Diceros bicornis minor: one gene and its partner. The protein of the gene in region 1 binds, or shares a complex with, the protein of each later gene. Links are inferred from orthologs where the notes say so. Each region holds a gene or a part of one and is shown on either strand. Other genes may lie near its edges.

Region 1 (3,903 bases):
CACCCTCTATCTTTTAGCACAGTAGTGAGTCAACATTCCCAAATAAAAACTGCATTTCCTGAAAAACAGGTTAAGAAGTTAAAACAACAAGGAGGGAAATGCTTGTCAGCATGCCAAATGTCAACATGTATCATTTTATGTAAGCATACCTTTCTTTTAACCAGTTTCTTGAGGATAGTGCATGGAAAGTAGGGAATGATCATCAACAGCTACATGGCTACCTTAAGCGTGAGAATCAATTCTGTGCTTTTCTTGGTTCAATGGTAAAAAAAAACACAAAAATTGCAACACATTAAGTTTTTTCTGCGATGCGTAAACCCAGTGTATCCACACCTCAGCCAAGTCAGTATAACGATTTACGTATGGGCCCTTTCGTTAGTCCTGAGCTAATAAACTTAACTATGGAAAGAGAATTAATCAGATGACAGCTGATTATCGTTAATTTAGAATTGGAACAAACTTTCATCGCTTGCCTAATTTCCTTTCAATGATCTTGGGGCAGCTCATCAAAACTTCCCATCAAGTGGAGACAGACTCCTTCATTTCCGAGAAACGCCTTACAAGAAACAACAAAATAAGAGTTGCGGGGGAAGAGAGAGTAAAGAAACCAGAAAAGAAATGCCCCAGGAGAAAGGGATTGTGGAAGGTGAAAAAATAGAAAATTTCCACACTAAAGAATTTCAAAACAATATGTAAGATCGAGGGAAAACTTTCAAGGGCACTTTTCAGTGTAATAACAATAAGGGAATTCAGCTCGGGAAATCCGTGCCTTAAAAAAGGACAATAAGCAGACTCGTTGGACTTCACCAAAACCCACCGCAAACATGGCGCTGGGACGAAGCCCCTACTCCGCCAGCCGCCAAAGCCTTTCGCCTCACTTTTCCCACAAACCCCTCCGCGCGGCCCGGTTCGCTGAAACCTGCCGGGCCGGCCTCCGACCACTGCGCACGCGCGGCACGACGTCACGTGCGCTCCCAGGGCTCCGCGGCGCTGGCAGGAGGGGCCTTGCCAGCTTCCGCCGCCGCGTCGCTTGGGGGCTCGAACGGCGGGTTCGCGGTGCTTACGCTGCCGCGGAGCAGCCGGGGGTCGCAGGGCCGAGCGAGGAGCGCGCGGCGGCGCGGCCATGGGACTGCGCCGAGCCCGGTGACAGGAGGGAGCCGAGCGGCCCGGGCCCTGAGCGCGTCTCCTGCGGGGGGCCTCGCCCTCCTGCTCGCGGGCCCGGGGCTCCTGCTGCCGTTGCTGGCGCTGCTGCTGGCGGCGGCGGCGGCCAGGATCATGTCGGGCCGCCGCTGCGCCGGCGGGGGCGCGGCCTGCACGGGCGCGGCGGCCGAGGCCGTGGAGCCGGCCGCCCGCGAGCTGTTCGAGGCTTGCCGCAACGGGGACGTGGAGCGAGTCAAGAGGCTGGTGACGCCCGAGAAGGTGAACAGCCGCGACACGGCGGGCAGGAAGTCCACCCCGCTCCACTTCGCCGCAGGTAACCCGGGCCAGCGCCGCCTCGCCCCAGACCCCACCTGCGCACCCGCGCTCGCAGGCCCGCAACCAGACACAGTGCTGCTCTGCCCCCGGCGCTCCCCCAGGACTGCGGTCGTGGTCCTCTCCCCCTCGTCGAGTGAGGACTGAAGACGTTGGGCTAGGGGGCCAGCGTGCCGCACTCACTGGAAGTTTTTTTTTTTTGCTTTGTTTTGTATCAACAATACCTGTACCAACTTCCGGTCTTGCTACTCTAAGAGGCCTCCACGCACAAGAAAGAGTAGGGGACGTAGTAGACCTTGCGATTCGAAAGGCCAGTTATCTCCAAAATCTATCTTCTTGCAAATTCCACTATAACTGTTATCAGTCCTTTGGGTTAAAGTCTTCAAGGCCCTTGTAAAATGCAAGGATGTAATTTAGGAGGAGTAGCTTAATTGGCCATTGACACATTAGCGTTAATGGGTTTATCAGGGTAGTTATTAGCAAGTTTCTGGGGAGACTAGAACTGGAAATAGTCGAGTTTGGGAGAATTGAGATCTGACTTAGGCTAGGAGCGGCCGGGTAGCCTCCGCCACACACACAAGTTGAGGTGGAAAGTAGTGGGATGAGAGGAAAGATGGTGTAGGTACTTGAGCTTGGATCTAGAATTTAAACTGGGACTAACCTCGCCTCGTTCTGGGATTTAGATCGTTTGAATTACTTTCTTTTAATATTTACTAGGTTCACTTTATGATATAAGCATATTACATTCACTTAAAGAATTTAAAAGAGCTAGAGATGAGAGACACTCAGCTTATTTCTATAAAGCATTTATACTTTTCACTTTGAAGAAAGATGCAACTGTCTCTATCCTCAAGTGGGCCATGCATGATTGAAAATGGGAGTAGAGTCTCATGGTTCTGATAATCCTGATTTTTTATTTTGTGCGTTACATAATTGTTTAAAATAATTTTTTGAAAAAGCAGAAGGATAGGTTTTAAAGCTCTCTGTTCTTTTCGAATAGGGATGAGCAGAGGAGCGTTAAGAAAGATTTCCTTATTCACAGACATTGCTTGTACACTTTCTACCAATTGGAGATTTGTTTGCTTTAACCTATCCCTGTTTTAAAATATAAATACTAGTAGGAGGTATGCTTTCTTGATCAATTAGAACTTTGTTGAGTTCCCGTTGAGGAGCCTTTTTAAGGGAGAAGGTTTGGAGGACCGTTGGCAGGAGAGCTAGAAACAGTCTGTGGCAGCAGAAAGGGAAAGGAGAGGAATACTAAAGTCAAATCTCATTTCTTTAGCCATTTAGCCTAAAATTTTTGTGATCAGTGCTGCCTTTGCTCAGCTAATTTGGGTTGTCCTGTTTGACCATGTGGTCACCCTTAAACAACTGATTTGGCAAACTGTCATAACCAACTGATATGCAGTCCAAAGGGTAGTGTTACTTAGATTCTGTTCACTTGATCTGTGGGGTAAAAATAACCAAGGAAGATCTTAGTTGCTACCTTTCAAGAATTCGGTGTATTAGTGAGTTCATATCTGAAAATAGTAATATTTAGGGGTTTAACCTTATGGCATTAGCTTCTTATTGACATTATTCCTCCCCCACCGTCCCATCCTCCCTTCTGTCCCAACATTTCAGAGTACTTTTTACATAGATTTCATGTGGTTTGTTCAGACTGAAATGGAAAACCTAATTTTAGGATCCAACCCACCCCTCACAATTTACCCAAATTATCAGGTACAGGTTATCAGATTAAGAATTTAAGGTATAAGAAAAGAGTAATAAAATGAAAATTCTAATGGTCTACATTAAACCAGAGCTTTAAAGCCCTGCATTTAACCCAGGCATATAAGAAACTTTTTTAAAAATTAGCTTTGTAAATCCAATCTAAATTATTAATTAGATTAATGAGAGAGAACTGAATTTTTAAATAAATGCATCCAGCTACATTTTCTCTGTATATAGGGAATACCTTTTGTGATCTCTTTTGTAGGTAGTGAGTTATCAATTGTATTAATGTGCATGTAAGCATGCCATGGGAAGCTCAACATAGGTAGTGGGACTATGTAACTGCCTGACCAAGCAGTTTTTTGTGTTTGTACATTATAGAGTAAGCCATAGGGGGAAAAAAATCTTTTTCTTAGCCAGTTAAAGTTTGGAGGTTTTATTGGGGGAGGGGAGGCACGTTTTTGTCTTTTTTTTTTTTTTTGATTTCCAGGGAACAGGAATAAGATTTGTGCAGAGGAAGGAATATGAATCAATGATAGAAGAACAGTTTAGTCTTTTCATCTAAAATATTTAGTTCAGTTAAGAGAATAATCAGTTGCCAGCCCCAGAGGAGTTAAGTTCTTTTGTTAATGAAAAAAATAATCAACATAAATAGGAACTTTTCTTCTAATAGGTGCTTTTTATTAGTGAACTGGATTACATTTCTTCTAGATAAGT
Region 2 (3,903 bases), on another chromosome or scaffold:
GTCAGAGGGATGGGCAAGGCCCTGATGCTCTTTGGCCTTCAGAGTCTTGACAACTGGGCATCTCCCAGGTCTGGGGGCTCCCTCCCTTTCCCAGCCTGCTGTCCTAGGAACCAGAGCCCCAGTCTCATGCAGCTCTGGAGGTCCAGTGCAGAGCCAGGTCTTGGCTGGCACGTGGGCTCACTGAACACCCGCCAGATAAGGCAAGGGCACCACCCAGAGGCCAGACCTACAAGGCCACCAAGGGCCCCTAGACCCTTGCTGCAGGCTGAAGCTCCTCTGGCCAGCTGATCAGCACAGTGCACCAAATGCCAGTCTGATCTCTGCCCAGCTGTACCACCCCGGACCCTCCCACAGTCATGGGGCTGGGGAAGCCGACCTCAGGTCCTCCAGCCGTACTGGCCATGAGGGAGGGAAGGGAAACTCCGGAGGGCCTTCCGTGTAAGAAAGCAGAGGCTCAGAGAGGCTGGGTGCTTGCCCAAGGAGGCCCAGCGGGTCAGCAAGGCTGGGGCCCAGCCCTGTCCCCACGTCCTCCCATGGTGCTCCCCACCGCCCAGGGGACTCACATTTGAGCAGCTGCAGCTGAGTGCCGCCCTTCTTGTGCAGGTAGCCAGCCTTGGCCACACCCCCTGGCATGGTTAGCAAGTTCTGGGCGCCAATTGCCTTCATAGGGACAGGCCAGTGCATCTCCTCGGCCGCCATGAAGCTGCAATAAAAGGGGACATATCTCAGCCAGGTGTGGGGGACAAAAGATAGCTTAGCTGGGGACATGCAGGGGGGACACTGCCAAGATCCTGGAGAGAGCACGAAGGTTCAAAGCAGTAAGAGGTAAGAACCCCTTTTCTGAAGGCCCAGGCTTCCAGGTGGGACCCTAGGGAGAGACCTGGTCCACTCGGACACCCCCTGGTCCATTCAGCCACACACCTGAACCCCAGGGATCCTGTGAGCTGTGTTCCTCCATCGACACTGGTTCACTCTGTACACACCTACTGAGCTCAAGGCCCCATGGGGGCTGGGGTACAGCGGCGAATGGACTCAGGAAACCCCTGGCCCAGGTAAGTCAGGCCTTAGGCCATGAGGTCCCCAAGTCCGAGGGCCAAGTGAGCCTATAATGGGGCCTGCCCTAGACAGGAAGTCAGGGAGGGCTTTCAGGAGAAGGTGACTGGGGTCACAAACTGAAGGAAGGAGTTAAAGAGGTACAGGGTCTAGGGCAGGCCCTGGGCACCCTCTCCACCAGCTCTGACTCTCAGCAGGGAGAGAGTGAGGGGCACGGCCCCTAAATGCCCCACAATCCACTCCTGCCCACCCTTAGCTGGCTTCTGTCTATCCCTTTCTTAAGGCTCTGAGACCAGGAAGCAGGACAGCAGCTGGCCAAGAGCCTCCAGTTCCCAGGTCAGACAACCTAGATTCTGGTCCTGGCTTGGCTTTCTGGGGGATCCCTGGGCCTCAGTTGCTGCAGCTGTAAAATGGGAGGACAGAGCAGATGCGGCCTGGCATGCAGCACACCCTAGTCAGCAATGGCCATGAGGACCATTTGGTGGGTTGGCTGATGCAACACTCCTCAGGGACCACATAGTACTTGGTCACCAGGGACAGGCTGACTGTCTTAGGGCTAACCCAGCCCCACAGGACCCAACACGTCAGGCCCTGGGGGGTCAGGCCCTGCCCCTCCCCCACCCTCTTACTCATGCTCCAGCTGCTCTCCCTGAAACCTGCCAGGCTGTTTCACACTTCTGGCCTCTGCCTGGAATGATCATTACCTCTCTTCACATGGAGAACTCCTACTCGTCCTTCAAGACCCAAATTCAGTGTTCTCTTCCGTGAGGCACCTCAATGCCCAGTCACATTCCGGGTCTCCTCCACCCCTGGTCCCTCCGAACAGCACCCAACCTTGCACTGTTTTGTCTGTGCCTGCCCCCACCCCACCCCGGTCCTGGTTCCTCCTGGGGTCCCAGTGGAGTTGGAGGAGAAGGGGTGTGGTCAGCGTCACCCTTAAGCCGGTGGTGGAGCAGTTAGGGTCAGACCCAGAGACCCAGTCCTGCTGGGACTCCTGCCACTACAGGCCCCATCCCCAAAACACACACACAAAGAGAACCTCTTTGCTCTTAGCGAACCAGCATCCTCCATCAAATGCTCACCGTCTCTAGGGGCCTGGGCTGCCCCTTTGCCACCGCCTCTGCCTAGGTCACCGGGCTGCCCGCTCCGGCTCCATCTGCACACAAAGCCGACCCCTCGGGCCTGGGCCCCCACCAACAGCGGAGGCTCGGAACAAAGGCGCGGCCACCCCTACCCCCGCCCCCCGCGCCTGCCGCCCGGACGGAGCCCCGCGGCGGGGAGAAGGGTACCGGCGCTCACGCCCACCCAGGGGGAGGTGCTGGCAGAGGCACGGCCCGCGTCCCGCCTGGGGCCCCCAGACCCGCCCGGCCGCCGGCCCACGCCCGCTTTTGTTCTCGCAGGAAGCGCGGGCTCGGGGTCCGGGGGCTCAGGTCGGGTCCGCGCTCAGTACTCACGGCGTCCACGCGGCGGGCAGGGCCGGCTTCCGGGGGGCGGCCCCCGCCCGCCTCTCCTGCGCGCACCGACACGGCCCCGGGCCGGGCCCCCCGGCCGCCGCCTCGTCCCCGGCGCCCGCCTCCCGCCGGCCCCGGCTCCGCGGCCGCAGCCCCGCGCCCGCCATGCCGCGCGCCCCCGGCCCGGGCCCAGGCGGCGCCGGCTCCTCCCCTCGCGGGCGGGCGCGGGGGCGGGCAGGTGGGGAGCTCCGCCGGCCCCGCGCCTCCGCCCGTCACCCCGCGTCCGCCGCCCCGCAGAGCCTCAGTTTCCCCGTCTGCTGCTCTGAGGATGGGGGGCGCGAAGCGGACGTCTCAAGTGCAGCCGAGAATCAAGAAGCCACCGATGCAAGCGAGGCATCCCGCTTCACAGCCCCAACGCTGCGAGTGTCCCCGCGCGGCTGGAAGGCCCCAGACCCAGGTCCCAATCCCAGCCGGCTCCTGGATGGCGAGCGCCCTTGAGAAAGTGGCTTCTCCTCCCTGAGCCTCAGTCTGCGCCTCTGTAACTGGGGGTGATGGCCGCCCTGCCTTCCAGGGCTGTGCGGGGTTTGTTCTGAAGCAGGTCCGGCTGGCCGAGAGCCCCCACCACGCTGGCATGCACTCAGGCTCACGGACAGGTCTGCGGTTCCTCGAGCCCCCTACTGGGCAGGCTGCTTGCCCTATCTGACTCGATGGGCCTCCACCCCTCGATTCCCTTCAGGGGTCAGGGGTCTGGTCTTTGGCAGCCCTTCTTGGACATATGTGAGTTTCTCTCCTAGGAGACCCCCAGGCTGGCCAACGGCTGGTGAAGGCCCTTGCTGGCCTCTCAAACATTCTGCCTCCTCCACCTCCCACTTGCATACAGGCTGCCACTGAGATGGGCCACCTACAGCAGAGGGTAGCTCTAACAGCTTGGGCCCTGCTCCCACCTGGCTGTCCATACTGGGCGCCCCTCCCTGGTTTCCCAGCCTCCACCTCAGGCAGCCTCTCTGGCCCCTTCCCACTGCAACCAGCCTTCGCCTGTCACTGCAGCCTCCCCGCATAGAGGCTCCTGCCTGCTTCTGTGCCCAGCATCCTTGCCAATCCCTCCCCTGGCAGTGTACCCATCCCCCAGGCCACCTCCCTCTCCTCCCCCAGCCATCCTACCTGGCCACTTCTGGGCAGCCCCCCCACCACTTCCTTTCCTCAATTCCCTCCCCCACCTCCAGTCTCTTCCCTCCATCACCCTCCACTCGGCACACTCTCCAACACACATGCCATTCTCATCACGGCTCTGTTCTGAATCTCCAGGGCCTCCGCATGCCCACCTGGCCCTTCCAGATACAGCCCCCATGGACCTTTCCCACAGGCTCTCCTGCTGCCCTCCACCCCTGTGCACCTGTGC

What was found.
Region 2: the proteins of TNKS2 (region 1) and SH3BP2 are in contact, whole or in part, in a crystal structure (PDB 3TWR), measured with the Homo sapiens proteins. The link is inferred for Diceros bicornis minor from reciprocal best matches to the Homo sapiens genes TNKS2 and SH3BP2. Residues at the interface, in NP_079511.1 of Homo sapiens: Arg525, Ser527, His531, Phe532, Gly535, Tyr536, Asn537, Arg538, Leu560, Asn565, Ser568, Tyr569, His571, Asp589, Trp591, Phe593, Glu598, Lys604; in NP_001116153.1 of Homo sapiens: Leu413, Gln414, Arg415, Ser416, Pro417, Pro418, Asp419, Gly420, Gln421, Ser422, Arg424.

The regions. Positions count from the first base shown.
Region 1 is NC_080745.1:57,704,802-57,708,704, forward strand, and holds the start of TNKS2 (poly [ADP-ribose] polymerase tankyrase-2), read left to right. Parts: upstream 1-1,010; 5' UTR 1,011-1,275; coding exon 1,276-1,474; intron 1,475-3,903. UniProt on the Homo sapiens protein: Poly-ADP-ribosyltransferase involved in various processes such as Wnt signaling pathway, telomere length and vesicle trafficking.
Region 2 is NC_080747.1:2,129,717-2,133,619, reverse strand, and holds the start of SH3BP2 (SH3 domain-binding protein 2), read right to left. Parts: upstream 2,672-3,903; coding exon 2,508-2,671; intron 2,210-2,507; exon of another isoform or gene 2,125-2,209; coding exon of another isoform or gene 2,093-2,124; exon of another isoform or gene 922-2,092; intron 704-921; coding exon 564-703; intron 1-563. UniProt on the Homo sapiens protein: Binds differentially to the SH3 domains of certain proteins of signal transduction pathways. Binds to phosphatidylinositols; linking the hemopoietic tyrosine kinase fes to the cytoplasmic membrane in a phosphorylation dependent mechanism.